2 linked regions of the Danio rerio genome follow. The protein of the gene in region 1 interacts with the protein of each later gene in a pairwise test. Links are inferred from orthologs where the notes say so. Each region holds a gene or a part of one and is shown in the gene's direction. Other genes may lie near its edges.

Evidence for each region.
Region 2: the proteins of mylka (region 1) and gopc interact in binary tests that used the Homo sapiens proteins (3 or more experiments, as listed by UniProt). The two-hybrid records come from large-scale screens. The link is inferred for Danio rerio from reciprocal best matches to the Homo sapiens genes MYLK and GOPC.

Annotation. Positions count from the first base shown.
Region 1 is NC_133184.1:4,195,306-4,203,405, reverse strand, and holds the start of mylka (myosin light chain kinase, smooth muscle), read left to right. Parts: upstream 1-3,718; 5' UTR 3,719-3,946; intron 3,947-8,100. UniProt on the Homo sapiens protein: Calcium/calmodulin-dependent myosin light chain kinase implicated in smooth muscle contraction via phosphorylation of myosin light chains (MLC). Also regulates actin-myosin interaction through a non-kinase activity.
Region 2 is NC_133195.1:45,539,573-45,547,690, forward strand, and holds the start of gopc (Golgi-associated PDZ and coiled-coil motif-containing protein), read left to right. Parts: upstream 1-3,451; 5' UTR 3,452-3,588; coding exon 3,589-3,870; intron 3,871-8,118.

The DNA of each region.
Region 1 (8,100 bases):
CCAGACACTAGTCATGTCTAATCCTGTCCTGTTGTGCTTGGCTCAAGTTTTCTAGGGTCGAGCACTTGTTTCTGTCATTGTGTGTGTCTCTGTGTGCGCGCGCGCCTTCGTGGGTGTGCGCAGAGCGTGCGCGATCCTGCTTGATGCGGCCGCGCGAGCTCTGTGTCCCTCCGACGAGCGTGCGCGCACTTGTACTCGTGTTTGTGTTTTTGTCTGTCTGCAGCGTGGTGTTTCATTCCCAGCGTCTCAGTCTTGTTGGTTTCGGTTTTGGTCGGCGCTGGGATGAAGCATGCACGCTGCGTGTGTGAGCGCACGGTGAGTGTTTTCATTCATCATGTGCTCGTGTCTTGCGTCTGTTGTCAAAGCACGTGGCTCTGTGTTTACATTGTGGTCACGTGCTTTTGTCGTGTGCTTCAGTGTTGTGCTTGTCTCGTCATGAACATGCGGTTAATGAGTTCTCTCATTGGCTGCATGTTCTTGTCCTGTTTTATGTGAGCGCATGGCTTGTGTTGTCTCTCTGTGTCGCGCGCTCTCCCGTCTATTGTCTAGTCCCACCCTCCTTGTTTACTCATTATTAGTTTGTCATGTTCACCTGTTTGTGTCAATTTACTTTTTGCTTTATAATCCCCTCATGTTTTCAGTCCAGTGCCAGTTTGTCATCTAAACTCCCCATGTGTTCCTGCTCTTGTTCTTGTCGTGCCAACCCAGTCAAGTTTGTTAGTGTTATAGCTATGTTTTTCCCCTTCGGGGTGGTTTTTGTTGTTCTTTTGTTTTATTTTTATTATCAATAAATCATCCTGTGTTTGCACTTGAGTCCTCGCTCCCTCATCCTTCCTGAACCGTGACATGTTCACTACGTGCCTTTATCCATTCACATAAACGCACACAATTACTTTTTTTTGGTTGTTTTTCGAGGACAGTGATGTAATGTATTTATTATAAAATAATCAGACTGGACCCTAACTCGAAAAACTATGGCAACTTTAGGGACCATTTGTAAAAGCACTTAATGAGCACATTGAATGTGTCTAAGCTTCTAAAAATGCGAGATGCAATACTTCAGTATGGTTTGAAAAAAAAAGCACAGGATTAAGAACTTAATGGTAAGCTTGCACAGCATCTGAGCGCCTGTAAACAGAACCTTGCAACATCTCTGTCTCTGTGTTCTTCTGATTGGTCCACTGCTTTGGAACTGACAGTGATGAGCAGCACTGCATGTGAAAGCTTTGGTTCGTTTAACACAGTGTCTAAATAATTTAGCATTCATGAGGTTGGTGCTTCAAAAGTTGTGAAACATGAGTGCACCATCTACACACATCCGTTAAGCACAATTACAAACAATAGAAAAGTAGCGTACTGGAAAAGAAAAACGTGAATCGCCTCAATGTGTGTTTAAAAGTAACAGATCAGGTTGTGTGACCCTGGCTCTGACAGTTTCTTTGCCTCCATTCTTAAACGCTACAGTTAGTTCTTGCTGGCAGTCAGCCGTATGGTTTACGGTGCCAATGCTCCTGGTGCGTTCATTAATACACCAGCTGTGTTCCACTCCAGCACAATCCCAAAAATACACACACTATTCACACATCCGAGAATGAAGTAAAGGCTGGCTGACTCGATTCAAACGCAGATCACTGATGAGTGCATGAATGACAGCCAAAGTGCTCTTAGTCAACTGAGAGTGTTTTCCACCCAACATCCTCATCATCCCGAAGTGCTGCTCGTTTTCTTTCCTTCTTTGAGAATATGTGAAGCAGATCTCATATCACACCAGACTTCTTCAGGAGCCCCTGTTCCACAAACACACACTTGTTTTTGGTTGGAAACCAGCTGCATGTTACTTATCTCTGAGACATCTTCCCATAGGACTTTAACAAGAGGGAGAGAGAAAGAAAGTGAGAGAGTGAGGGAGGGAGAGAGAGAGAGGGAATGGTTCCTCAGGAGGAATAGTTTTTCCAGATGTTCCCAGAAAGCAGAAATATATGGTAGTTTTGGCCGAGTTGGTCAATGGGGAGACCATTGTGCTTTCTGGCCAGACATGAGGAGGCTCATATCATTAGGAACCATCTTTAACACTTCTCTGTGCTTTATAACAGTCTGAGAGAAGAAGCAAAGCTTTATAACCCTCTCAGCACATCAATCCACCTGTTCAGGAGCTTCATGATGTTCGGGACTGTATAAAGATACAAACATAAAAACTTGACACTTCTGATCTACAATGCTTTGTATTGAAGGTATAGTTCCCATATAAATCTTAATTTACTCATCCTTATAGTTTTTTTTTTTTTTTTTTTTTTTTTGTTGAATACACCATAAGATACTTTGACTAACCTTAACCATTGACGTCCTTAGTATTTTTTTTTTTCCGTCTATGGAAGTCACTGGTTCCAGCTTTCTTTAAGGGTCACACTTTACAATAAGGTTCATTAGTTAATGTTAATTAATGCATTTACTAACATGAACAAACAATGAACAACACATTTAATACTGTATTTGTTCATGTTAGTTAAGGTTAGTTAATGAAAATACAGTAGTTCATTGTTAGTTCATGTTAACTCATAGTGCATTAACTAATGTTAACTAGCATGGACTTAGATGTTAATAATGCATTAGTAAATGTTCAATTATGATTAATAAATGCTGTACATGTGTTGTTCATGATTAGTTCATGTTAGTAAATGCATTATCTAATGAACCTTATTATAAAGTGTTACCTCTACAAGATATTTTTTGTTTTCAACAGAAGAAAGGAACAAAGGTTTGCAACAAGAGTGAATTTGTGTTTTTTGGCTAAAATCGTAGTTAAGCTTCATATAAATTTTATAGAAATGCTGTATCTATTGCTGACTTTGTACTTCTGACTGAATCTTATATCGGCTACAAGTACTGCTGTTTTATTTTAAGTGTTTAGTTTTCCATAAATCCTCCTGAGTACATTGAATTTCATTCTGTAGTGGCTTAAAAATGTGAAACTTTTAAAAGAAAATTAAAGTCATTTTAATTTAAGTTAGGCATAAAGTGCAGCTTTAAGATGTGACATACAACAACATTGTTGTATAAGACAGAAGTGCTTTGTTCTGCGATACTATCCTGGGTGTACTTTATCGCGCTTATTACCCGGCTACTTGCCATAAAACTTTAAAATTAGACACAAAATACTGTTCTGAGCCGTAATACTTTATTAAATCTTTAATTAAATGGAAAGCGGACAGAAACAAAGGCAGCTGATGGAGCATACATTAACCTGCGCATCATTCCGTCACGAGATAGGGGCAAACAGTCAAAAACGTAAAAGCTGACAGAAATGAAGCCGGCTGGATGAAACTTAGACTAATCTATGTATTATTCGCTCATAAAAAGATGGCACCATATTCATTGATGGTCTTGATGATTCGAAGTTTCCAGATCAGCCTTTGTTATTTAGCAGTTGTTATCTTGGGATAACATACCTTGGAATTCTGCAAATTTCTAATCAGCATTAAGCATTCCAGACGGCATAATGATAAAGCCCTAAAGCTTACATTTGCACCTATTCTTTTAAGCATGCTATTTCAGCCTGAGCGACCACCTCCATCAAGCATCACAGTGTTTATCTCCCTCTGTCCACTGCCCTCTCTCCCAGTGAAATATAACGCTCTAAAAGCATTAACCAAGCAGCTCTTCTTGCAGCAGTCTGTTCGTCTTAGCTGGCTTTACCCTACACTTTCATCTGTGTAAGTGTGAGTGCTGAACACAGCAGTCTCCTGTCCTGCAGTGCTGAACTCTCTGAGCAGGTTTTTTTAGCACTCAAACATTATTGTACCCTCAAGAATGTGACTAACATTCATTACAGAGCAGGGTTGAAGAAACCTCTTAGGGAACATGACAAAAACTACATTTTTACATGTTTGGAGAAAATGTGAGTGGTACTTTTCTGGCCCAAACCATTGCACAAGTGGACTTAAAGTAAGTAAGTATGATATATCTCTTGTGAATGATTCATTCAAGTAGGCTAAACTTTTGGGGGGGGGGGGGGGTTGAGTTATTGCCGCTATAACTGAATGTGTGTCAGGAATATCGAAAACAAAACCAACTGAACCGCGCTCATTTCTGGCGCCCCCTGGATATACAGCGCCCTTAGCATTTGCCTATGGTGCCTATACCACGGGCCGGCCCTGAGTTGGCTGAGTGTTTTAAATACTCGCGCTCACCTCCCTCACGACAGAGCGCATAGGAGATAAATGACGTCAGTACATAATAACCTATTATGATTATTACTGAATTATGATACCTTATTGTCCGCGTCTGCATCACAGTGCACCGAAGAAACAATTAATTTTGACACCCCTACTTTGGTTAGTGTTGTATATGTGTTGGAGAACGTGAGTTATTGTTTCCTTATTCATGCTGATTCAGTTGTGACACGATTTGTTTGATTGTTTTGGTTGTAATAAATTTATTAATTTAAAGTCTTCTTTATGTTGCGTTCCCTTTATGAATTAATTATTTAGATTTGATTAAAAAAAGGGTTCATAACAGCAAGTGTGGATTTTATTGTTTTTGACAGTGCTTTATTCACCAATGTTTAATGTGATATCCAGCTTTGGATTTATTTAGATCTATTATTAGACATCTATGTTCACTGACAAACAAAATGTTGCCTTATTTTAGCCAAGATGTCTATCTTTGGGTGTCTATTAGACATATTTAAAAGAAAAAATACTACCAAGGACAAGATATGTTACTACTTTTGTTCCTTGTTGTTTGCAGTTGCTGTAATGTTTTAAGGTCATTGTTAGAAGGTTCTTGATGATTGTTACAGTAGTTGCTTACTTCGAACAATTCCATTTAATTATTAGTCAGCTTATAACTGTAGTAGGGTTGTAACAATATACCGGTATGACGGTCTACCTCGATTTGAACGTGCACGATTATCATACCATGAACAATTGCATATCAACGGTTTTAACCCTTAAAGACTGAGACAGCCGCCCGCGGCTAAAAATAAGTATTGCTCTTAAATGTTTAATAACTTTTGATCCGCTGATCCCATTCATACAATTCAAAGATTGGCATAAAGAAGAGAATCTCAGCTTTCCAGTGCTGTATCACATTACATTCGCCGACTTTCAGAGGCTCCGGAATCAGTGCGGTTACGTCATCAAAATTTGACAACGCTGATTTGACAAAGAAACGCTCGTCACTGTGTCTCCGGACAAACCAGACATGATACATTGATGCATTGTCCCTCCTCCATGCCCAGATTGGTTCAAACTCGCTATATCACAACCAATAAGCATAGGTTTCGCTTTTGTTTGTGGACCAACACTGAGCTTTTTGAACAACACGGAATGAGAGATAGGCATACATTTATGCGCGGCTAAATAAAACGCAAAAAAAAAAAAAGTTTTGCATGAAATAATTCTCATACTAAGTACTTTTGCATGCACAGCAGCACAGAAACATGACAAAACAGTGACACAGCAAAGACGAACTGCTGCTCTTGCTGTTTTCAAAAGACGCAAATGAAGATGCAGCTGTTTAACTGCATTGCAGACAACCATATCCAAATCCATATCCACAGACAACCAAATCCAAATCCATATCCATAGACAACCATATCCATGCTGGCACATAAAACCTAAGGATGTTCCATATTGAATCTAGTTTCGTTATGTAACTATTTATAGTATAGTAAATAATTATATCTCTTTTTTACTGAGGATTTGCACCATGTTTATTTGGACTTTGACACATTATTTATTATTTTCTTATTTTTTTATTTGTTCATTGTAAGTGGTGTTGTTTATAGTAACTGAAAATATATTATTTGGAAAAAGTCAAATTTGCTTCACTGTTTTATTATTTTGTAACACTTATTTTCTGTTTTGTTTATTCCCAGACCTTTTGGGCAAAAACATTGTCAGTAAATAAATGCATTTTTTTCCCCATAGAAAAACCTTTGTTCAGTCAGAAAACGTGTTCTTATTCTTTTCAGGGTCTTTGCTATGAGAATTACTATTTAATACCGTATACCGCGAAACCGTCAAACCGTGGTATTGTTTTTTACGATTATCATACCGTAAAAAATTCATACCGTTACAACCCTAAACTGTAGCATTGTCATTGATCAGTTTTTAATAAGTTGCATGATTCATAGTATCGTGCATGTCTACACCATTAACAGGAGTTACACTGCAAGGCTTATTAGTTTATAATTCAAATGGAAGTTTGGATAACTTGGCAAACATCACTAATGAGTGACCGAAAGAGATTCTTGTTGTTCTCATTGTCTTTTTCTCTCAAATCCCCCCTCTCTCAGTTAGCAGTATATTAAATATGCATGAGCACTCTCTGGTCCTGCATGAATCCTCATGGAGCCTGTGGCCGTGTGAGTGTCTGTGTCTTCTCTAGGTGAGGTTAGTTCATGGTACCCCCCACCCGTGGAAAACAATAAAGTAGGAATCATGTTCTTTCCAGAGGAACTGTTTCAGTAGGGGTTTTCATTTCCTCATTCCATCAACGCTGTGCACCCTTCAGAGAAACCTGGCAGATGCAAACATCCATAAGAAAGAAAGAAAACAAATGAGATCGTTTTAATATCTCGGTTGCTTCACCTTGAATTAGAGATCCTGTAGTCAATGCAAATGAAAAATGTAACTTAAAGAGAACCTACTATGCAAAAGTCTCATTTATAAGAGGTTTAAACACAGTTGCGTGGCAGCAGTGTGTGAATATATCCAGCCGCTAATAGATCACAGTCAGGAGAAACACTTTGATTGACATTCTCTCTTTTTAAGTGTCATCAGAGGGGGAAAGCCCCGCCCATTTGTGACAATCTCTTCCTCATAAGCATAGACAGCCTTGAGTGAGAAGCAGCCATCCATCATTAGAGTTTTCACACAATACCTGCCAAAGATAATCTCAGCAACTAAGTAGCTAAGTAACTAACTAATAAATGTTGAGGTTTAAGGTGCACAAATGTTTCACAAAGATAATGTTAGTCCTGTTTTGAATCTGCTACTAAGCTAAGTTTTAGATTTCCCACTTTCAGAAAACCTCAACATCGTCTCAAAACTTAGTTAGGACTTAGTTTAGATCAATGTTCACAATTAAATGTAAGCGATCTCATTCATTTAATGCCTTAAAGCAATGGTCCCCGGGTCACAAACCAGTACCAGTCCGTGGATCAATTGGTACCGGGCCAAGAAATCAAGAAATCATTAAATATCATGAAATATTTCTGAAGAAATCATTAAATATTTCTGTTTTATTTTTTATATCTGAGTCTGAACAATCTTTTTTTTTTTTATATCTTTTATTTTGAAAAATTACATTTGAGCGCCAATCTTTAAACCCAGAAAGTTAGCAAAATGAGTAAGAAAAGGTCATCACAACAGTGAAGGACCCGAGAACTGGCAAGAAATGGATCCGCAACCAATTCGTCAATAAATCAGGTATATCCAGAATATCACGAATATCTCGATCACAAATGATGGCAGCTATTCACATATCGTGTCTTTTCTGCGTGCAAGTTTGTTATTTACAATGGAGGCGCACGCTTAAGCAGTGTGACACGCTAGAACCTTCCTGGAGAACTCAGCTGAAAACAACTCAACTTTTCCGAATGTCGAAAGTGCACAGTGAGTCACATCACAAGAACTGAGCGATCAGCTTCATACTTTGTATTGATCATACCACAGAACACCCAAACATTGCAGTGCTTTGTAATTTTCTCCATAAATAAAACTTGTATCAGAGTTGCAGCAATGTTTTGTCAGCTTGTCATCCTCTGAGAAAACGGATGATGGATGTCATGCATCACAACACCCGCCACCTCAGGTGGGTGCACCCAGCCACAATAAAATTGTCAAGCATTTATTGGTCCGCAGTGAAAAAAAAAGGTTGGGAACCAGTGCCTTAAAGAATAACTTCATTTTAGAAATTTTTTGATTTTTTTAGATGACATCTTTCTGACCCTCCGTTGACATCCCAATCCCAACATTTTCAAAGTCCACAAAATGAACTAAAAATACTGTTAAAACATTCCCTGTGACTTCAGTGGTTCACCTGTAATCATACAAAGCTCCAAGTAGGGCTGGGTGATATTGAAAAAAAATATAT
Region 2 (8,118 bases), on another chromosome or scaffold:
TATGCGTTAAAAAAACTAATAAAAATGTCAAAAGTATGCACATATACACAATAATTAAAATGAAGACAAAGATACAAATAAACAATAAAAATATATATTCTACATGAATGAAAACTAATTACTTAATATTAATTCCTTACATTAATATAGCTCTTTTCTAGACGCTCAAATCGCTTTACATAACGGAAGGGGGACTCTCCTCATCCATCACCAGCGTGCAGCATCTACCTGGATGAAGCGACGGCAGCCATATTGTGCCAGACCACACACCACACACCAGCTGATTGGTGGAGAGGAGACAGCGTGATGAAGCCAATTATCATATGGGGATGGTTGGGAGGCCATGATGGGCAAATTTGGCCAAGTGGGCAAATTTGGCCAGGATGCCAGGGTTAAACCCTTACTCTTTTTGAAGGACATCCTGGGATTTTTAATGACCACAGAGAGTCAGGACCTCGGTTTAACATCTCATTCAAAAGACAGCACTCACTGAGCAGTATAGAATCCCCCATCAATATACTGGGGTTTTAGGACCCACATAGATCACAGATTGAGCGCCCTCTGCTGGCCTCACTAACACCTCTGCCAGCAGCAACCCAGCTTTCCCATATGGTCTCCCATCTAGGTACTGACCGGACAGGACACAGCCTTGCATAGCTTCAGCGGGCAACCATGTGAGAGCTGCAGAGAGCTAGCTGCCAGATATTTCTCAATTATACAACAACAACAACAACAATAATACTATCAATTTGAAGAACATTCTCTTAATATTACAGACATTTTCTAATTCACTATTAAGTAAAACTGGATATTCAGCAAAAATCATCCACTTAAAACTAATGCTTAGCAAGTTACACTGTAAAAAATCTCTGTAAATGATCAGTTTTCTGTATTTTGTGATTCATGTTTTTATTTTCTCCCATTTATTTATGTTTGTGACTTGCATTAAGGTACCTTAAAAAGTTCAAAAATGTGACTTTTGGTAACATTTTGAATAGTTTAAAGTGATATTGTCTGGATGGTGATGTATATTACGCTACAAAAACCTTGTAATAAACTGGCAGTACATTTTCTGCTATTTTGCAGACGTATTTCTCTACATAATATTTCTTATACATTATATTATTTCAAACTACTAAAATGTCAATAAAATTGACTTTGTTAAACTGTAGAGTTACATTTTCAACATCAAAAGTAGACAGAGCAAAGATCAAGCTCCCATAATGCAATTCACAACCGTAAATAAATGGAAAACACTTGTGAATCACAAAATACGGAAACTATTAATTAACAGATATTTTTTACAGTGTAGTTAGTTAGTTAGTTAGTTAGTTAGTTAGTTAGTTAAGATTGTGGAACAGCTAAATGAAATCCTGAACAGCAATAAAATCAGGTTTATTTTGCTGTTGTTTGAGAAGAGCACTGGTGAACCCGCATGTCTCTGTTCTGGCTCATGTTAAAGCAAAACACACATTATCGCTCAGAACATCTTCGTTATGAAAACACAACCTCGCACACCTCTGTGTGTGCTGAAGTTGCATTTTGCACATAAGGCTTAACTAGCAGAGCCAGATTCATGCTTGGCATTTTATTTTCCTAATTACAAAACAAAGTTTAAAGTTTTATACACTACCAGACTTCTGTCTTGTCGCCTTTTACAATTTTAGAAACAACTAATAATAACTTGACTTCTAGTCGATCATTTGGTACCAGAAGTGGCTTATATGAAAGGCAAAGGCCTCTAGATTGTGCTTATTTTACCAAAATAAAATATGACCATGCCTTGATTTTTAATTATTTAATTAAGGTCTTAAATATATATATAAATTTTTTTGTAATATTATTATTTTTTTCTCAATATATAAAAAGTTATATTTTTATTCTATTACTAATTGGGTATTATTAAAACTTTACATTATTTTGTCTTATCCCTGAAATATATATACATCTGTGTGATTTAAAAAAAGCCAATAAATAAATAAACAAATAAATGAATAAATAAAATAAATAATATAAATAATTATTGTATGATTGAGCAGAGCTATTAATATATTTAAAAAACATAAAAATCAATAAAATGTTCAATAAGTAAACAAATAAATACTTAAATAAACAGCATGCATCATAATCATTTATTGTAAAATTCAACATTGCTCTTAATATCTTTAAAGAATCTAAAAAAATACATAAATGTCATAAATTGTACAATTTATTTTATTAATGTATTTAAATAACCTAACATAGTTTAATCAATCAATCAATAAATAAACATGTCATCATTACTGTAAAATTTAAAGTTACAAATAAAAGTTCAAAGTCATTTAAAAAGTTAAAAACAAATGCATAAACATATATATAACCCAAACATAAAACAAAATTAAATAGAACAAATATAAAGTAAAACTATATAAAATAAAAATAATTTTAAAAAGTAATTATTGCAGATACTTCTAGACAAAATATATCCGCTATAAAGTTTTAGAGCTTAATCCATGATATGTTAAAATGTTAAAGGAGCATAATCAGTATTAATTGTTTTAATTACTTTTTTATTTTTAGACATCATATATGTATAGATGATATGATAATCACTTTTTAGCATTTATGAATGAAAAATTAACATCATAATAAAATAAAGTTTCTAATAAAACCAGCATTCTATAAAGAGGACATAATAAGCCCAAAATCACATGTTTAGATGATAATGAATGTTTTTAAAATAGGAGCGATAAAACTTCCACAGGCATCACGGTGGCGCAGTGGGTAGCACGATTGCCTCACAGCAAGAAGGTCGCTGGTTCGAGAATCGGCTGGGTCAGTAAGCATTTCTGTGTGGAGTGTGCATGTTTGCCCTGTGAACCCGTGGGTTTCCTCCGGATGCTTCGGTTTCCCCCATAGTCCAAAGACATGCGGTATAGGTAAATTGAGTAAGCTAAATTGTACGTAGTGTATGAGTGTGAATGTGTGAGTGTATGGATGTTTCCCAGTGATGGGTTGCAGCTGGAAGGGTATCCGCTGCGTAATACTGAATAAGTTGGCGGTTCATTCTGCTGTGGCAACCTAATATTAATAGAGGGACTAAGCCGAAAAGCAACTCCCTTTTTTTTCTTCTTCCATTTCAAAAAACTTGCAATTCTAGAAACTTCAACATTGCTCCAAATATATCGAGTATATCAAAAGTACCAAAGTAAATCTTATGTTGAGCATATAAAAAATTGAGTATATCAAAAGTACCATAATAAATGTTAGATTTTTTTTATATAAGTCAATAAAAAATAATTTTAAAAAGTCCGGTAAATGACCAAAAAAAAAAGCTAATAACCTCAAAAACCTGAAAAAAATCGATTCGCTCATCATTCGACTGCTTACCTCATCGTGTGGCAGACCCGACTAATCAATCCGCGTTGTTGACTTGTTCGATCTCGGATTTCCTGGTCAGATGAGAGCACGGGAAACACCTCAGCTAAACATCACTCTGACTCTGTAACACAGCAGAAGTCAATCATTAGCATAAACCAACTGATCTATCCTACTGAAGGACTACATTCGAGTTCTCCGTGAGTTTTCCCCCCTGTCTCAGTCTTGAAGATGTCTGCGTCCGCTGGCGGTGCTGGATCACCGGGATCGGGCCTCTCCGCCGGCCCGGCTGCGGCTACCGGCTCCGGTATGTCCATGTTCCGGTGGCTGGAGGTGTTGGAGAAGGAGTTTGACAAGGCATTTGTGGACGTGGATCTGTTGTTGGGAGAGATCGATCCGGATCAGGCTGATATCACGTATGAGGGCCGCCAGAAGATGACCAGTCTCAGCTCGTGTTTTGCTCAGTTGTGCCATAAAGCACAAACCATCTTCCAGCTCAACCACAAACTGGAGGTAAAGAGAATAGATTAAACTAGATCAATATATTGAGGTATAGTTGGTTTTATGTTAACACATTCGTTCATTTTTGAACACTGACAACTAGTGTCACAGTTCCTATTTTGTGTTCACCATGCTACTTTAAATATTCGGTCTGAAATCGCATGTAAGTATGACTTCAAAACAACATTAGCAGCACCAACCGACTCTGAACAATGTTGTGCTTTAATAGTCATTTATTGGCTGCTAATATGATTTCCCTATTTTGAAACTTCAAAAGATACTTTTCTAAAATTCTATTATTTTACTCATAACAGATTTTTATAAGTACAAAACAGAACAAAACATTTACACAATCATTTTATACAAGTGATAAGAAAAAATACACTGTAAATCTAAAAAGTTAAGGTAACTCAAACTGTTTGAGGAAACTGATTTCAACATACCATTTAAGTTCAGAAACTAATCCTAATGGGTACTGTGATCTTAATCCATTTGTGTAATGAAGCAATTTGAGCACAGTAAAACCCAGTAAAAAAAGAGAACTCAAACCAACTTAGTACTGTAAAAAAACAATAAATTAAAGCGACTCAAACCGTTTTAGGAAACCGATTGCAATAAAGCATTTGAGTTAAAAACTAATCTATGAGTACTGTGAACTTCCTCCATTTAAGATGAAGTAATGAGGTTTAATTAGCTCAATATCTTCAACGCCTAGTTCAAAACTCTTTTCAAATGAACTTGCAGTACATTTTGAGTTAGCTACACTCATTTTGCTTGATAAAGTTGACTGTTTTACAGTGTGCAGACAAACTGACAAAAACCAGTCCATCCAAACATGCTCCATATAGAGTAAATCATATACACTATTAGGTGTTACTTGATCAAACTCAAAACATTAAAAAATGGAGTGGAAAAGAAAGAGCAAAAATGTCCAAGAATCCTACTTACAACTCTTAAAAAAAGAAATGCAAGGAAGAAGCCCCAGATTTTTCAAGCTGTTTAGAAGCATCTGCCCTAGCAAAACAAATTCTTTCAAGCTTAAAGGGCCATGAAACCCCCTCGTTTCAGCAGGGTGTTTTCACACCTCTTCTTTGGAAAAAGTCAGAAAAGTGGGCGTGTCCAGATCTGTTTAGGGGGGAGTGTCGGAGGAACTAAAGTGGGAGGGTGTGGGAGTGTCGATTTGGGCACGCGCGAGTTTCAGAGTCAAAATACACACACACACACACACACACACACATACATACAGGAGAATGTGATGGTGTTTAACCTACATGGACATCTGTAGTCGAATTATTAGCCAAATTATTAAATGGTGGACTTTAACTGCAGTTTGGCTCTTTCATTCAGGGAATTCATTCATGTCCCTCGCGACACACGAGACATTTGATTCGAGGAGCTGCTCTAAGCGTGTATTTTTCATGCAATGTTTTATACCGCACGGCGAATGAGAGAAAAAAACCCTCTGCATTTCCCAGAAACTTAGATGCACACGACAGGTAGTGTCAGAAAGCCGCGCGTGTTATTCCGGTCACTAAATGCGGTAAAAACCCTACACGAGGTTAAAGTTTGGTTGTGGTGCTAACGTGTTTACACTCTGTGCAATAGTTTGTTAGATACGAACAAACTGAATAAACAAAGAGCACTGGTCGCTCACTTACCAAATCTGTAGAGACAGGACAATCACCAGCAACTAGAGCCGCGTCTTTATGAAGAGAATACTACAAACGATTCCAGATCTCAGCGTTTGCAGATGAGAACAGCTCTCAGGTAAACAATAATCCTCCTTAGACACGTAAGTTATTGTTGTCGCGCGTCGCGTACACTGTAATCCACACGTGAGTCTGAGCTCTCACAGAGAGAAAATGAAAACGAAACTTAACTGCAGCAAACTATAAAAGCAACACTTCACGCTTGTTTTGCCAACACAACATGGCGTCTCTGTCCTGAAAACACGGTGATAGTAATGAATATTAATGAAGTTGCACAATAGAGTGCGCTGATTGGTTTGACCCAAGCCTTACTCATGCATTAATGTATCACACTGTAAGACGTAATAAGACTCACTCAGGCACAGACATCCAGTCTGCACGCTGGAATACACGCTATTATGTCATGACCGTGACGCAGCTTCAAAAATTCGTTTCAAACAGGAAGTACGAATTTGCTTAAAATAACGCAAAAACAACCAATTTACACTTTTTAGTGAAATATAGGTGTCCTAATAGTGTTTTTAGCAGTGTGGGACACATATACGACTGTCAACAGCTCAAAAAATGTGTTTTGGTGTTTCGTGACCCTTTAAGAACAATTTTAGTCAGCCATTTCTGAAGTAAGTAGGTGGTAGAGTGGACTTCCAATCCATCAAGATCACCCTTTTAGCCACCACCATACCAAACATAATAGACATTTGCTGATTATTTGACCATGCTAACAGGGTCACAGCATCCAAACAGGGCTAATTCAATATCTGGACTAAAGTTTTCTCCTAAAACATTTGAATAAAACAGAAAATTATTCTCTGGGATCTCAGGGCAAACCCAAAAAATATGAGCATACGGTCCATCTGAACTTTTGCATCTGTCACATAACAGGGAAACTGAAGGGAGCATTTTTATTGAGATTAGTTTTGGTATAATGTTGCCTATATTTACCACTTCAAACTGTAGGAGTTGCAATCTAGCGTTGATAGAACAGGTATGAATTCGCTTCAGCCCCTCTTCTCAGGTATCAATTGAAATGTTAACTCCAATATCTTTTTTCCATGACAATTTATGGTGATCAGAAGACAAAGCAAATTGGCAGACAAAGAAAGAAACAAACTGCGTTACCAAATGTTTGGCCATAGGAGGTTTACACAAAAGATTGTATATATTATGGTCCTGTGGCAGTTCTTGAAACTCAGTTAAAGAATGTTTTATGTAGTGGCGCACCTGTAAATAGTGGGAAAATGGTGACTGAGAAAGATTAACAGCTTTAAACAGGTGTTCAGATGAAACAAATTTCCCATCTATATAAAAATCTTTGACTCTGGTGTCTGGTTAATCCTTTGTTTCTCCATTGTAAAAATATCTTATCTGACTGGTCAGGTAAAAAAATATTACTAAAATTATGTTATTAAGGAACATGTGCAAATATGAAACTAACACCGATGATTAAAACATGATCAGTCAAAGTCTAGACAAAGTTGTTAATCTTCTATTTACTAAATGTTTGCAATGTGCTTTGAATGCTTTGCTCTGGGTGAGCTTTAGTTTGGCTTTTCCTACTATGGAAGCAAATGTTTGCAGATTTTCAGCTTTCTTCAAAATATCTTCTTTAGTGTTCTTCATCAGGATAAAGAAACTCATTAAGGTATGGAGAATAAATAGTGGGTAAATTTGAAGTTTTAAGAACTGACTAATTGTGGAGTGTATAAATTGTAGCGTTTAGTTTTTAATCTATGACTAGTTCATTTAAGGTTATGAAAATCCTGTGTATATTTAGCTAAATTTTTTCAGTTATTATGAATGAGCCCTCTACTGTATTTAGTATTTATTTGTCTGAAACGTATGTTTATTCAAGAATATTAGGAAGCATTATACAAGCTTTTATTTGTAAACATTAATTATTACATTACTAAAAATGAATAATACTTGTAAATCATTTGTTATTCGTAGGCATTGACAACATTTAACTGTTCAGATTAGCTACCGACATGAAAGAACAGTTGTAAATCTATTTACAAAGATTGATAAGATTTATAAATATAGTAACAAATATATTGCACATAATAGCAGCAAGCTAAATTAGTTAAGCTTTATCTGTATATATTGGAGTGAAATCTCAATGATTGTGGATCACAATCAATTATTTTAGCCTTTAAAAGTGGACATTAGATTGAATAATGTAATGTTCTTAATGCATAGTAAATTTACTATGGCTAAACAGATATAGCACTAGTAAATCTATTATTATAAAGTGCTCCTGAAAATGATTATGGTGAAATCACAATTTCCTATAAAATCGTGGATTTGGCAATAAGGAATGTGAATCATAATAAGATTTTGTGCAACTTAATTAATGCAAATTCAAGATGGAATTGGTTGTTTGTTATTAAAGTGCAGTGCTTTTATTAAACAGAACCAATTTAATATGCAATAAAACAAACAGAATGATCAGAACCCTTGCAATATATGCATATTTAGAGTAGAAGTATTATATCTGAATAGGTAAAATTTGGGTTTTTATGATGGATGTTTGAAAACAACAAAACAATGCCAA